2 linked regions of the Xenopus tropicalis genome follow. The protein of the gene in region 2 interacts with the protein of the main gene of each other region in a pairwise test. Links are inferred from orthologs where the notes say so. Each region holds a gene or a part of one and is shown on either strand. Other genes may lie near its edges.

Region 1 (4,589 bases), on a different chromosome or scaffold from region 2:
TTTGCCAGTATTCACATGGGGGGGGGGGGGGTCCCCCTGCGGTTAAAATGACCTGGATGGATATAGTTCTATTGTTACTGCTACTTTGTATTAATTATCCTCAGGCCCTCTCCTATTGCTTTTTCAGTCTTTTGTTCATAGCATGGACTAGTTGCTAGGATAAATTGGACCACTGTAACCAGACAGGACCTGAAAATTTCAAACTGCAGGAGTTGTTTAACCATAACCTAGATAATTGAAAAAAACTACAAAAAATGAAGGCTAATTGCAAACTGTCAGAATACCACTGCCTACATTTAACTCAACGTTAAATTTAAGGTGAACTACCCCAGTAATGAACAATCATAAAACCACTTGTTAAAGGAAGCGTTTCATTAGCCGCTAACACACTTTCCCCTTACTCTCCCATAAACCTATTGTGTTCCCCATGTCTGTGGGGGGTTCCACTACTCTTAGTTAGACAGTGAGCTCTTTGGGACACCCACACCTACCAATTGATATCCCTTAATGCTATTAGTAACTACAGCTATTAATAGAAAGATTAGATATAACCTTCCTGTGCAGTTTGATGCTTATCCTTTGCTATGGTATGTACTCCATGGTCTCTCTGATCTGTGCTCATGGAATGGACATGATGCTATGCATACTGGGGCCAGTATACAACTATACAGACACATAGTGGATATAAATTACATTTACCTATACTATTGTCATTTACAAATAGCCTCATAAAACATATACACAAAACTACTCCCTGCCTATACTTCAGCCCATGGCAGGTGTAGCTCAGCAAGACTTGTCCCATTCGAGGTTGCCAATCAGTGCACTATACCGATAAATAATGTAGGTACTCACACACTAACAGACAGGCACAGCCGGTCCGGAACAGCTCAAACCGAATACGAACCACAGGGCTATTCCTTACCGCTGAGCCCAAAAATCTGCTCCGGCTTGTTCAACAGACTCTGACAGCCCGCAGGAACCTTAGTGGCTCTCGCACATACGCACCGCCATCTTGCTGTGCCTCAGAGCCGCGGCTGCCATGGTGTCATTACATGAGACTACTTCCGGGTTAGCTGGACAATGGCGTCACAGTAGGGAACGTAGATAGACGGACAGCGCTGCGTGGATAGAATAAACATAAAGACAGAGACACGCCCCTTTGTGGCGCACATAAGCATTTAGTAGTTACAAACAGGCGAAAAGCGTCGCAGAAAACGACATAAACTCGTATAACAATATTTACAATTAAATGTATAACAATAAAATATATAACAATAAAATATATAACAATTAAATTTAACTATTATATAGTTTAAGGCGTTACCTCCATCCTCTTGTCTCTTTGACACATAGCTCTTGTACTTTTTATTCATTATTGTAATGACCCCTTGTTTATTATTGTGCTGTTGCACAGCGATACATACATACAGCGCTATATAAATAAAATACACGTACAGTCATATTACACCCCGAGCCCTTATTAATCATGGCCGCCACGACCTCCCATACTAGTCTCGCTGTATGATACCTGGAGCGTTTAAATCTAACTACTTCCGCCGGAAACACGACTTTCCATTTCCTGCTTGCTGCTTCGGGTGCTAAGTTGCGGTGTGTAGAAAGCGCAGATATGGTGAGTAGGAATGGCTGCTGGGCGGCGGGGCTTGTTAGCGGGTGAGGGCGCAGAGAAGCAGCTGCAGGCCGCGGCGGGCTCCTGAGTTCCAGGGGGCGGGATGCGCGGCCCCATAATGTAGCGATGGAGGCCCCCCTCGGCCCGGGGCTCTGCAGCTGCTCCTCTGCTTGTGTTTTGCCTGTAGAGCTCACACGGCCTCTCTCTTGCAGTCTCACACAATCCTACTCGTACAGCCCACCAAGAGACCCGAGGGCCGGACCTATGCAGACTACGAGTCGGTGAATGAATGCATGGAAGGTATGTTAGCCTCACATTTATTGCTTGATAGGAAGGGAAGTGTAGCTACGGGTTACTCGCACTCTATACATTCCTTACAGCACGGGGTTTTCCGCCCAAACCTCCTTTACTGCCCAGGATTTAGGCAGCCCCCCCCCCCACATTCATTTAGGCAATTATCACTGTAGCCTTGATCAGAGCTATGTTTTATATCCGCTTTTTCTGATATCTCCAGGAAATAATTGTTCCCCCCCTCCCCCAGCCCTGAGTATGTAACTGACCTTTATGGTGGCCATACATGGGTTAATTTTGGCTGCCGATATTGGGCCTTTACACTAATTCTGCAGCTTATCTGCTTATTGGGCCTTCTTGACGACGTCTGGCCTGAAATTGGGCAGATCTCAATCGGGCAGGTTTGATTTTTCCATCAAATCGGGACCGCATCCACCCGTGCCTATACTCGCTGTTTTCTTTCGATTGTTTGGCCCCAGGGCCCAACAACTAGATTAGCCCAATAGTGCCCACCCTCAGTTGGGCATATCGAGAGAAGATCAGCTTGCTTGGCAACCTTGCGAAGCAAACTAATCTTACCATGTATGGCCAGCTTTAAGGTGGCCATACATGCACCGATAATACGAGGTTTCGTACGATATTCGGTGCGTGTATGGTATGTCGGCGAGTCGACCAATATCGCAGGAAGCTGCTGATATCGGCCGACTCGCCGATCGGACCAGTTTGAAAATTTTGACCAAATTCTGACCAAAATCTCCCTTCACCGCTGAATCGGCAGAAGGAGGTAGAAATCCTATTGTTTCTACCTCCTTACCTGCCGATTCAGCCCTGAATGGTGTGTGGCTGATCTGACGATGTTTCGCACGGGGCATGTAAGTATAGTCATTCTCCCCAAATCTTACCCCGACTGGCATTTAGTGTCTGTCCCATTTAGGTTGGCCAGCCCCAGTTATATTTGTATAAAGATTAATATTTCCTTAAATTTAAAGTATATAGTGACTAATGTACCCCTTCTTATAGATAAGATAAACATGACCTTGTATTTTCAGAAGGTGTATATGGTCATGTGACTCCTTGGTGACTTCTATTATCTTCATAAATGTTAGTACTGGGTACATCCTCAATACAATCTGCAGGCCTTAGGGGTCAAAGGCGGAATCTGGAACCTAAACTCTCGACCAGCACTTGACCTGTTAGACCCCCCCTTTGAACCCCCGGGGTTATATTGTGAGTTGCGGGAGAGGATCCCAATGTGTGAGAGGCAGGAGGGCTCCACAGATATAAGTGGTGTGGGGGCCCTGTGGGTAGCATAGTTCCACCTCTGCCTCCATTTTGTTCCCCTCCTCACAGATGTGGGGGATAGTTGCCAGTATGCTGTTCTTTTGCTCAGGGTGGCTAGGGGGCATAGTTGTATCCATGCTTATGTTTTGTTTACCTCCCTTTTACAGTTCCCCTTGTTCCCTTTCCTCTGTTTGCTCCCCACACTTTCTCCCATGTGTCTGCCCCCCCCCCCCCCCACACTTTCACTGTTCTCCATTTCTTCAAAGTCCTGTTTCTTCTGGAACTATAGTCAGATCTGCTTTTCCCTTTGTTGCTGTTGAGCAGGCGGTTAGGTGGGAGGGTCTGGCTGTTCAGTTTGGTGGGGACGCAGTAAAGTAGTTGATTCAGGCCTGAGGGGCCAGTGTTTGATTGAGCGGGTCTTGAGGAGGCAGACAATCCGGCAGGAGAAGTTATACTACGGGCAGGCAAATGGTCTCTAGTTTAGTTTACAATGCCGTAGGGAATTGGCCAAACTGTAGATAATATAGACAACAATGTATCGTTATTGTAATTTTATAACAGGGTACATTGTTTTCATAATTCACAGTTTTCAGTAAGTCATGTGACAGATTACATCACTAAGCACCGAGTATAACCTATGACATCACTAAGCACACTCTGTAAGCATATTGGCTACAGGATGTTTATGGCTCTTGAGTATATTAAAAGTTCCATAACCTGTATAAAAGCACAAAATCCTTTGGCTTTTTCACCTTGGCAAATTCTAATTTTTTTAATTTTGGAAAAGGGGGTACATATTTTTTTGTTTATAATACATAAGTTTCAATGTGTCATGTGACACAAATAACGTTACTAAGCACTGTTTAAATGGATGTTTGACTCTTGCGTATTATAAACGCCTTGTGGCATTTTTCTGCTGTCTAAGCCTAAATAGCACAAGTGGAACCTTGGCTTTAATAAAATTATGTGCCTTTCTCGCAAGTGTGCAAACGCAAAGATTTAACATATTTCTATATAGAGAAGTAAGTAGATTGTTCTTACCTTGACCTTCTTCCCTACTGATCATAAAGCCCAGATTTAAATCACCTCCCTGTTGGAATTAATCTTGTTATAATCCATCCTTTGTTGAAGTTAAGGAACTACTCAAACTCACTGTAATGCGATAATTATTTATTTTGGGGATGATATGCATCAGACGCGGCACCACGTGGCAAAAGATGTAGCATTGATTTAATTGATTCTTGCTGCTGCCTTCCTAGTTATACTTGCTTCTTGGGTGCTTTTGTTCTGGTACATGTATGGGATCCCTTATCCGGAAACTCATTATCCAGAAAGTTCCTTATTATGGAAAGGGCACCTCCCATAGCCTCCTTTATAAGCAAATAAT
Region 2 (3,822 bases):
ACACAAAATATATCTAATAGGTTATGTTTTCAGTATACATTATTTTAAATTAAGTAATTAAGCTAGCACATTACAAGTCGTAATAATATCTCGCCTGGACTACTGTAACTCCCTATAAATTGGCCTTCCCCTCCAAAGACTGTCCCCTCTCCTGTCCATAATGAATACTGCTGCCAGGCTCATACACCTCTCCAACCGCTCCTCCTCTGCCATGCCACTCTGCCAATCCCTGCACTGGCTTCCCCTACCATCCAGGATAAAATTCAAACTATTGACCCTCACATTTAAAGCAGTCCATAACTCTGCCCCACCCTACATCTCTGAACTCATCTCTAGGTACCATCCAACCCGCTTGTTACGCTCCTCTACTGACCTGCTCCTCAACTCCTCTCTCATTCCCTCCTCACACGCTCGCATTCAAGACTTTGCAAGGGCTGCCCCCCTTCTCTGGAATTGTTCCCACAAACTGTCAGACTTTCTCCCAATCTCTCTGCCTTCAAGAGATCTCTAAAAACACATTTATTTAGAGAGGCTTACCCTAATCTAGTTTAGCAATACCCTGTGCCACACCTCTCACAACTCTGGTCATGCCCATTCCCACACCTTGTGTCTCAACCCTTTCTCCTTGTAGATTGTAAGCTCTCTTGGGCAGGGCCCTCTTCATCTCTTGTATCGGTTATTAATTGCTTTATATGTTACTCTGTATGTCCAATGTATGTAACCCACATATTGTACAGCGCTGCGGAATATGTTGGCGCTTTATAAATAAATGTTAATGTAATGTAATGTAATAACAAATATCTGCACTGGCAGCTTCTGTAGCAGAACTTCAATACTCCTTATGCACAAAACCAATTAAACTCCTTTTTACTGTCTGAATTGATCCTAGCTTTTCTCAGACACAGACAGTTAGGATGAATAAGCCTTTCAGCTTTAGCTTTTTCACTTACCATCCAGGTATCTGTTGTTGTACTTTTTATAAGCACCAACTGCGTCGTCCTTCCTCACAAAAACAACTTCTGCCGCACCAGGACTTAGCAGTCTGGCTCGCTTTAAGGCTCCACATACACAGAACAACTCCTGTTAAAAAAAAAAAAGTCAGACAGAATACCACATCATTAGATTAGAAAGCCACTAAAAACAGGGACAGTCCTATTACAGCATAGTTATTAGAAACACTGAGGGAGGAGACTGGATGGTTACAGCAATAGAACACAAAGCATTTGCCATTTTAGTAAATGGAAATCAATGTAAGTTCGGTACAACAGCACAGTCATGGCCCAAAAGTGGCAGATCATTTAAAATAGTTGTCAGTATACAGGGCGTATTGAAATTTTTTTTTTTTTTTTCCGCAGCTCCGCTCGGTAGTTTCAAGCAGGAAGCAGTTTATTATAGAGTGTATGGTGATGTTGCCCATAGCAACAAATATGCCCCTCAGTCACCAGTGCTTTGTTGTCGGTAAGAATGAACAAAACAGCAAGAGCTGTGGCTGGGAGGCATGCAACCCCTAAAATCGTGTACCCTAGGCTCAGGCCTGAGAGGAAAGGTATAGCAGAAAAAGTTTATTTTGTGAACTTTTTTTTTTTTTTTTTAAATATAACTCCAAATGCAAATTGCCTCAGAACACCATTACCCACATACCACTAAATGTAAATTATAAGGTCAATTGTCCCTTCAAAAGATTTCTTCTATTATTTTTCCTTGCAATATGCCTTACTCTTCTTTTACAGCAGAATTTTCCTTTCCATGCACATATAAAACAACAAGTGTGTTTTTGCCAGCTGCCTGGTTCACTTTGTAATCTTAATGTTTCTGTATATGACACTTACCACAATATCTTCTTCTGTGACACGAGGGTGCAAATTGTTAACTGTCATTTTAGTACCTTCTAGAGGGCTGAAGACCGGCTTAAAAATAAAAGAAATCAATCAGTTATAAATTACAAAGAAATACAGTTTAATACAAGGGTCCCCAACTTTTTTCTACCTGTGAGCCATGTGTAAATGTAATAAGAGTTGGGGAGCAACACAAGCATAAAAACATTTCTGGGGTGATAAATAAGGGCTGTGAATGGCTATTTGAAGGCCCTAAAAGGACTGGCAGCCTACAGGAGGCTCTGTTTGGCATTGCAAAATTAAAAAATGGGCACCTGCTTTGAGGCCACTTGGAGCAACATCCAAGGAGTTGCTGAGCAACATGTTGCTCATGAGCCACTGGTTGGGGATCACTGGTTTAATGTATCACAATTAAGTAAACAATTTGCCAGCTTTTGAAAACCAGAGTGATGGCTCCCCTCAGCATTGGAGTCCTAGGTCTGACTCCAGCCATAGAAATGCCCACAAGGAATCTGCTTTGCCTATGCTTGGGTGGGTTTCACCCCCACACACTCAAAAAAGAAAGTAACCCGCTCCTGACAAAAAATGTGTGAGTGTGTGTGAATGTGTCACATAAACCTTAGATTGTAATTTCCACTTTTTACAATGATGTATAAGCTCTGTAAAGGACTGTGGAATGTAAGCCATGTACTTATAATAATTTTAACGCTAACAATCTAACAGTGTGGGAGTCTCATGCCTGAAATTCTCACAGGGTGTAATGTAACCTTCTCCAAACATTTTTTTCTTTTGATAATCAATTAAGATGCATCACCAAACTTAAGGGCTGTGGGATAGAGGGAGTGCTCTAATTAATGTTTTATGACATGCGGGCCCAACGGCTCCACAGAAATCTTTTTATTCAAAATCAAATGACCGAACCATAAATAAGTCAAAGATGGACAGCACTGATAAAGGATTCTGAACCAGTTTCATGCCATATCAAAACTACATTATAACAGGATATAAAGAGTAAAGGGCTAGCTATAACAATAGCTACGACAAAGAAAGCACTCTTTGCCTCTAAGACAACTCTTTATTTTCAAATGCTAGAACAATGGAAAGAAAAGGCACAGCATATTTAAGATACAATACTTTTAGATTTAATATGGAATAAATATTTTGCACTAACATCCTATCAGTCTGCAACACAAATTTAAACTAATCCTGCTTCTTTATAATATGCACAGTGAGTCACCTCTTTAGATGCCACCTGTAGTGGAGTGTTATCTTCCTTAGTTACAAGTGTCCGTGACATGTTGGTCAAAGTCTTTGTGCGAAGTAAGGGGGCTGCAGTTGAAGCAGCCTGTGTGACAGCAGGTGCAGTGTAGGTGTCATTCTGGACAACCTTTGTGAAAGGTAGAGCCTTATTGAAGAGAAAAAACAAAGTTGGGATCAAAAGAAACAATTGTTTTCAGTGAAAAATACTTAACTCAAAATGAATACATTAATATAGCGAATTAAGAGGCATTCCCTACCCACCAAAGAACCATTCAAATATTACCTATTTATAAATGTCAAACATCTTGGCACATTTTATACTAACTAAATTCCTGTTAATGACCCCCAGTGAGCAGACATGCGCCAGAAAGTTACAGTCAAAACCTGCGGCTGCTGTATCTGCCTAATAACAATGATATAGTCTGGAACAGACCAGGACTGAACATTCAGCAATAAATGTGACCAAACAGTGAATACCCTTCCCTCTGCCTTTTATTTAATGTGTGACAAATGAAGCACAGAGATGTCTTGAGGTAGAGGCCACCAGTGGATTACACACGTGTGATCTATGATATTGGTAACTGCAAATATATTAATAGTGTACATACTTATATGCAATCCCTGTAAGCAGTAGACTATATACCAAAAAATGCCAGAAACATTACTTACCCGTTTCTGCAATGTGTTTGTGGCTGTAATTTTCATCTGCTTAGCTGGGATAGAGGAG

What was found.
Region 1: the proteins of poldip3 (region 2) and erh interact in a two-hybrid assay, tested with the Homo sapiens proteins (2 studies listed by BioGRID, with this or other methods). The link is inferred for Xenopus tropicalis from reciprocal best matches to the Homo sapiens genes POLDIP3 and ERH.

The regions. Positions count from the first base shown.
Region 1 is NC_030684.2:109,825,463-109,830,051, reverse strand, and holds the start of erh (enhancer of rudimentary homolog), read left to right. Parts: upstream 1-1,525; 5' UTR 1,526-1,630; coding exon 1,631-1,633; intron 1,634-1,842; coding exon 1,843-1,930; intron 1,931-4,589. UniProt on the Homo sapiens protein: May have a role in the cell cycle.
Region 2 is NC_030680.2:115,102,367-115,106,188, forward strand, and holds part of poldip3 (polymerase delta-interacting protein 3), read right to left. Parts: coding exon 3,765-3,822; intron 3,241-3,764; coding exon 3,073-3,240; intron 1,908-3,072; coding exon 1,830-1,907; intron 1,081-1,829; coding exon 951-1,080; intron 1-950. UniProt on the Homo sapiens protein: Is involved in regulation of translation. Is preferentially associated with CBC-bound spliced mRNA-protein complexes during the pioneer round of mRNA translation. Contributes to enhanced translational efficiency of spliced over nonspliced mRNAs.